Arabidopsis thaliana: one gene and its partner. The protein of the gene in region 1 interacts with the protein of each later gene in a pairwise test. Each region holds a gene or a part of one and is shown on either strand. Other genes may lie near its edges.

Region 1 (3,761 bases):
TGAAGAAAAGCAAATGGTTATCAGTTGACTTTAAAAGCTTTGGCCCCTCTTCTTAGCTCACTCAATCTCAGCTACGTTACGTGGATGGATGTGATTTTGACAAGTGGCAACATCATCATCTATGAAGTTTATTGAGCACTGTTTGGACCATAAAAGATGAAATCAGCCAAGACAATTAAAGAGGTGTCCCCATTGTCCTTTACATCTTTTGCAGCCAGTATGATTTAGTTTTTCCAAAATTCAATTTTGTTTTTATTGGTACAATTCGTTGGGCCTTATGATTTTGTCTTATGGTTTATCTTTGTGTTGATGAAGATACTTTCTTCTCTTCCTAGAAGCTTGGAGCCCACCTCAATAAATCCTTTCTTTGCTACCATGGCACACACTAGGATACTCTTTTCTTTGTTTGGTCTGGTAAAATCTCTTTAATGTCACCGTCACCGCCATTACTCGTCTACCTTTCTTGGCAGCCAAAGTTACCTTTGTCGACAACATTTGATCACCTGTAAACTATCCAAACCATGTATGCCACTAAAATTTTGCATAATGGTCAGTAAGTAACAAATTATACAATTCTGATTATGGTCAAATTTTACCTTTTGTGGTATGCTACTAGTTAAAGGGTAACCAAATAGTGGTTTTTACCTCATCAAGTCGCTATTTTGATGGTTAAGTTTCTGTATACTTTTCATCATTCATTGTCTATGTTAGTTTATCTTTGTGAAAAAATAGATTTTGTGATGAATTGACACCAAGAACAGTGGAGCAGCCAGTGGGACTTTCATTAAATGGTAAAGGAACCAGACAAGGAAAGGTTTTTCACCTCCTTTCTTCTTGCTCCCACCACATTAGTGTTTCCTCTCTTCATTTATAAGGGTTCCAAATTTTTACAATGGTTGAAACTCAGTGTTTACCGCGGTCATAGTTTTCTGATACTTTAGAGACAGTGACTATTAGTGTAAAAATGTGTTACCATAAAACTATTGTTGCTTCCACAGGGAGAATTATACCATTTGCAGAGCAATGACTAATTGAATAAACAACAAGTCTAAGCTAATGACATCATTGACAACCAATTAATTACTTGCAACTACTTTGCATTTTCCCTTTTTTTTCCTTCTATAATCAGGGTTTATGAATCATTAAGACTTTTTGCTCTAAGTTACTCCAAATATCATTAATCCTCTGTGTCTGATTTGCTTTTCCCATTATAGTGCCAGCTTCCACTTCTTCACCGCCATCTAACAGCATTTACTATTGTGGAGTTTCTACAAAAAGCTAACTAAAATGTGAAACGAAGAAATCAATAAACACGTTTCCATAAAGTAGTGTAACTTATTAGGGTAACTAGTTGTAGGCAAGACCGTAAGTAAGACAAAACAATAAGAACTTTGTAGCTTTCAAGAAACCATCACTCAATAGGATACCTGTAATAAGAAACCTTGAGCATCTTTTAGACCCTAGTGTAAGATAATTGAGTTTTAGTGAGAAGTGTTTAAAACTTGTAACTAGCTTAAATGGGTTTAGTGCATTTGGGGACTGTCGACAGCGAACCTTGACGCGAGAAAAATGCGGGAAAGTAACAAGAATGGTTTAAATGTCAAAACTGTTAAAGGACCACAAAGTTTGTTTAAGGCTAATGAGAAAAACATTCTTCTCAATGACATTATCCTAAGTTGCAGGGTTATCAAAGTGAGAGCTATTGATAGATGTTGACCTTAAAATTTACTCCAGGTTCTGAAATTCACTGTTTTACTTTTGTGTTGAGAGGTACAATTTCAAGGTAAAGATGGCTACAGTAATTGGGTGCTCTGTTGAGTCTTTAAAAGGAAATCAAGGTGTTGGAGCCACAAAGGTAATAATATCTCTCGACCCCATCCAATTGAATGCCAATCCATGTCAGAGACCGGGAAAAGGGGCGCTTACAGAACCTAAACAGAGACATCTTCTGTTGTGTTTCTCCATCTATATATCAGAGTGACGCCAAGAGAGCAGCTTTTGTGATCATACTGATCATGATCATGTAATGACAACTATCTCATACACTAGGTTATTAAACCGTGGATCAGATTGAAGCTAGCTTTTTCTTCAGTAGATTAGACTAATAACTTGTGTGGGAAAACAATGGGCAGATCGCCATGTTGTGATAAGGCCGGGTTGAAGAAAGGGCCTTGGACTCCAGAAGAGGATCAGAAACTTTTGGCTTATATTGAAGAACATGGCCATGGAAGCTGGCGTTCTTTGCCTGAGAAAGCCGGTAACTTGCTCGCTCTTTTCTCTTCAACAAAACCACACATTTTCTTCTAGCTCTATTCAAAGCTTTGCTTCAAACTCCTTATAGGTCTCCAAAGGTGTGGAAAGAGTTGCAGACTCAGATGGACTAACTACCTAAGACCTGACATCAAGAGAGGCAAATTCACTGTACAAGAAGAACAAACCATCATTCAACTCCACGCTCTCCTCGGAAACAGGTGACTCAATCACAATCTCTGCTTTCAAACCAAATAACCAAGTGATTGCTTTGAAAGCAAATTGATCGTCGTCCTTTAAATGTCATAGGTGGTCAGCGATTGCAACTCATTTACCAAAGAGGACAGACAACGAGATCAAGAACTACTGGAACACACACTTGAAGAAACGTCTGATCAAAATGGGGATAGATCCAGTGACTCACAAGCACAAAAACGAGACTCTTTCGTCTTCCACAGGACAATCAAAGAACGCAGCCACGCTTAGTCATATGGCTCAATGGGAGAGTGCAAGACTCGAAGCTGAAGCAAGGCTAGCTAGAGAATCAAAGCTTCTCCATTTACAGCATTACCAAAACAATAACAACCTTAACAAATCAGCAGCTCCTCAACAACATTGCTTCACTCAAAAAACATCAACAAACTGGACTAAACCAAACCAAGGTAAGGGACACATCGTCTTAAAAAAAACTCTCAACTTTGATTGGTTTTGGTAACGTATCAATGGAAAATTGTGACAGGAAACGGAGACCAACAGCTTGAATCTCCGACATCGACGGTGACATTCTCTGAGAATCTTCTGATGCCTTTAGGAATCCCTACGGATAGCAGCAGAAATAGAAACAATAACAACAATGAGTCCTCGGCGATGATTGAATTGGCCGTATCTTCGTCAACCTCCTCCGATGTGAGTCTGGTCAAAGAACATGAACACGACTGGATTAGGCAGATCAACTGTGGTAGTGGAGGAATAGGAGAAGGATTCACGAGTCTATTGATCGGTGATTCGGTCGGCCGGGGTTTACCCACCGGGAAAAACGAAGCGACGGCGGGCGTGGGGAATGAGAGTGAGTATAACTACTATGAGGATAACAAGAATTACTGGAATAGCATTCTCAACTTGGTTGATTCTTCACCGTCCGATTCCGCGACGATGTTCTGATCTAAGGGTCTTCAACCAAACATTTTTAATTCTCAGATTGTTTTTTAAATGTCGATAGCTTTCCAATACTTTTTACTTATCTTTATTTTCTTTATAAACTATTATATATATATATATATATATATATATGGGATGAAAATGAGCTTAATTTTAGTATTCGTTTTTGCAGAATTGCATGTAGCAAACCTGCAAATCCAATTTACAATTTATATATTATGCTTTTATGTTGTTGGTATACAGTTTGTTAGAAAAATATTTTAAGTGATAACGTCGTTGTCATTTGGCCAAATACATAAACCATAATAAGGGATCCTCCTTCAAATCCTAATACGTTTTTGTTTTGGGAATGA
Region 2 (3,761 bases), on another chromosome or scaffold:
AAATGGTTGGCAGCTCATTAATCATCTGGAACAGCCTCTTCCTGAAAAAGAATCGGTCCATGGCATAAGCTTAAAGGCAAGTGATAGCTAAGTTGTTCAAACAAACCTAATGCCAGAGAAGAATTTGATGAGATTCAGAATCAACAACTCATTCTGCTCAAGCTTTTCGTTTAACCTGTCAGCTACCAGTATCAAATAATGGATTCAGTGATTGTTGCTGAGCTCTCAACAAAGGTACAATGCAGTGGAAACTACCTAGGCTAATTACAGTGATCCTGCACAAGACTAATACAAGAAGTACTAATCAGACTTAGAGGCACATATCACATCTATTGACTAATATATCTATCTCAATAACATTGATCCAGATTGGTGCGATTCATAACTCTAGTCACTTCAAAATAGAAACTGGGAACCACTTACAAAAAGAGTTACACAGAAACCGACCCTATAAATAAGATCACGTGAGTTACAAAAATCCACACAGAGATTGTTGTATCAGACAAATAGACAAAACAAGAGGATGCTAGAATGATCATTATAACCTTACCACACATGAGTACACCCAATATTGTCATAATTGAGATGCAACACTCAAAAACACTGAGCTTGAGAAGGACCCTTACCTCTCATTCTTGCCAAATCCGAAACGTGCACCAAAGTAAAATGCAACAGAAAGCAGCCATGAATCACTGTGAACTGCGACCAAAGATACCCAGTCCTTTTCTTGCATTCCGTCTCTAGCGAAATTGATGCCTAAAGCTGGTTCAGGAAGCTCAGGAGGAACTTCCTCAACGGGTAGATTAACCTCCCATGTCTCATTTGGAAGTCCATAGAGACACAAATTCTCCTTCTCTACATAAACAAGAATGAAACACCTTAAAGAAAAACCACACAGAGGAGGACTAACTAACTCAATCTTTAACCAACACAATTCAACAACATACAAGCTCAACAACTTCAACAAAACATTTCACTAGAAACTATAGAAGCTAAGCAAGACTAATTTTTTAAAAGTTGTGAAGAAATAACTCACCAGGATCACACGTTTGGTAAAACTTCACCATATCTGCATAAACAAAACACAAAACCCAGAATCGTCAAATCTCACAAAAGAAACCCAAAATAAAAAAAGTTCTTCTTTTTTAACAAATGAAAAACCCAAATGCCACAAAATCGTAACTCTGTAGATACTTATCATTCTGATTCGCAAGTGAGAAACAAGAATCAGACCAAAACTGACCATTAGTGAGAGCTTTAATAAGACCAGCTCGTCGACCTCTGAAGTCGCTAAAGACCTCTTCAACAGTACGAGGTATTGGATGAGTAATTCCCTCCATTTCACAAACGATGTCGCCGGAGAAATCGCCGGAGAATATGAGTACTCCGGTCAAAATCAAAATCTGAGACAAATGTTTCCAGGCAAACAAAAGAAACCCAGAAGGAAAAATATTCACTTTGGGGTTTCGGATTTGGAGAAATGAAATTTGTAAATCTCTGAAAGAGAGAGTTTTTTTTTAATTTGGGGGAAATTGAGAAAAGAAAAAAAGAGAAAGGAGCTACAAACCCTAAAACGATAAAACAAAAGGGACCGATCAAAGATTAATTTTGGGGCTGAGAAGTAATATTAATAAAGACAACATTGTCTATTTTATTATTTTTGTATTAATTAAATAAAGACAACATTGTGTATTTTATTATTGTTTATGTAATAATATAAAATCTATTTATTAATTCCGATCTACATACCCTATTTTTTTCCGAGCTACATTCCCCACTCCCAAATTTTACATTATTTTTATTTTGGTCAAAGACATTTATTTAAATTTTATTTTATTTTTAAAAGTGTCGACGAAAAAAACATGTATTTTTTTTTTTTAACATATTCATTTCCATTAATATTACGAAAAAAAAACATGTTTTTATACGTAGGCTGAGGCATCCAAATTGATCCACAAATTTGGTTTTTGTTTTCAATTAACTTGACCTTAAAGATAAAAGTTAAAAGTTAAAACATTCAGGTCCATCTTGTATTGTACAGAAATAGCATGCCTGGCCCATTAAAGGATAGTGGGCTTTTATAGTAACCTAGGGGAAATGAGATTTGAAGTTTTCAACGATCATCACATTCACGTATTTTGAAAGTTTTTTTCACGATATACACCAGAAATAGATATTTTGAAAGAGAAAGCTACTAAAAAACGGAAAACATTTTGCCTTTTATCACTCAAAAAAATAAAAAATTCATCAAATTTTTAATTATTTTATTGTTTTTATGTGTGATTCTAGATGTAAGAATTAAGAAACGAACCAATATTAATCGGATTCGTTATCTTTGAATATTTTTGCGTTAAGCACGTCGTACTAGCTAGCGAATACGTTTACCGCAACTGTAATCTAATTCGTCACAGAATATCAATGATGTGGTATAATCAACTATAATCTTCTTTTTTCTTTGGGCAAAATCAACTATAATCTATGAATATATACTTACTAATATAGGTGATAGACATATATTATTTAAAATAATCTAAGAAAACATGCAAATACGGTTACATCGACCGGTTAGAAAGGGAAAAAACTTTAAAATTAGTACTTTCGTATCATATTCAAGTCAGTATATATTAGGATTTTGCCACATTACATATATTATTAAAGATTGTTAATAATTAGGATTAAAAAGACTAGTATGAGAGTTAAGTCAAGTTTAAATTTGTTTTTCTCATTGAGAAAAAGGGAACTGATTTCTTACAACATACAACTGTTCATGCTGGTCATATCTGACAAAATCACGGGAACAACTGCTCTTACCAAATATTGCACGTCCTATGCTTTTTTTTTTTGTCAAACCCTAATTAGTCTTATATTTACAAAGACAAAAAACTAGCTAACATCTTTTATCTTTATATATTTCTATCTCAAAATTAGTTGTTGAATTCTTAAGAGTTAGTGGATTGTTTATCTATAAAGTCGCACTAACAGGTAACTAAAATTAAACATCTTGGATCTAATGCATGTAAATGACAATGCAAAATGAATTCTAATAAGTGATGAATAAACAACAAAAAATATCAACATTCAATTTGAAATTTTGAAATGGAATGAAGACCAAATTAAATATCACTAGGTTGGATTTACGGTTACTATTGTTATGGTTTAGTTAGTGTTTGGTTTTAGTCTGGTTTCGGTTAGGGCTCGTACATGAAAATCTAATCCAATAAGTTTATTTCTTCTTTGGTTTGTTTGAGAACTTTTGATACGGATTGCACTCCTTAGTCATTTTGTATTCATATATTACAGTGAATTTTTTTTTTTTAACTACGTTGAATCTAGCTTAAAGAAATTAACTTTAACACAAGAAAAAAAAAACTACTTAATTGACTATATATGTTGAGAATCAGTTCCATTACATAAACTCGCAGTAATCAATCATTGTCTATCGCCATAACAATATATAAGGAGTATGAAAATATGGCAAAGCAGCATTAATAATTATTGTCATGGATAATAATCATGATCTAATTAAATTACTTAAAAGGAATATTAGTATAGTGATCTCTGTTTCCATCTGGTACTATTGGATTCCACATATCCCACAAAGCATTGTTTGGAATCGTTCCTGCAGGAATCATGTTCATAGCTAACGCCGCTTGAGTTTGAGGCATTAGCGTTGTCGCTGTAGTCGCCGCAGCCACCAATTGTAATGCGTTTGCGTTAGCATTTTGTTGTTGAGTATGATGAAACTGTTGAGCAATTTGAAA

The links.
Region 2: the proteins of MYB106 (region 1) and AL6 interact in a two-hybrid assay, tested with the Arabidopsis thaliana proteins (one large-scale study listed by BioGRID).

What each region holds. Positions count from the first base shown.
Region 1 is NC_003074.8:46,269-50,029, reverse strand, and holds MYB106 (myb domain protein 106), read left to right. Parts: upstream 1-1,733; 5' UTR 1,734-1,886; coding exon 1,887-2,023; exon of another isoform or gene 2,024-2,124; coding exon of another isoform or gene 2,125-2,132; coding exon 2,133-2,257; exon of another isoform or gene 2,258-2,341; coding exon 2,342-2,471; exon of another isoform or gene 2,472-2,559; coding exon 2,560-2,912; exon of another isoform or gene 2,913-2,989; coding exon 2,990-3,411; 3' UTR 3,412-3,634; downstream 3,635-3,761. UniProt on the Arabidopsis thaliana protein: Functions as a repressor of epidermal cell outgrowth and negatively regulate trichome branch formation. Acts both as a positive and a negative regulator of cellular outgrowth. Promotes both trichome expansion and branch formation.
Region 2 is NC_003071.7:650,416-654,176, reverse strand, and holds the start of AL6 (alfin-like 6), read right to left. Parts: upstream 1,602-3,761; 5' UTR 1,341-1,601; coding exon 1,244-1,340; intron 1,070-1,243; coding exon 1,037-1,069; intron 856-1,036; coding exon 627-855; intron 42-626; coding exon 1-41. Other genes in the region: LOV1 (NAC domain containing protein 35), read right to left, coding at 3,528-3,761. UniProt on the Arabidopsis thaliana protein: Histone-binding component that specifically recognizes H3 tails trimethylated on 'Lys-4' (H3K4me3), which mark transcription start sites of virtually all active genes.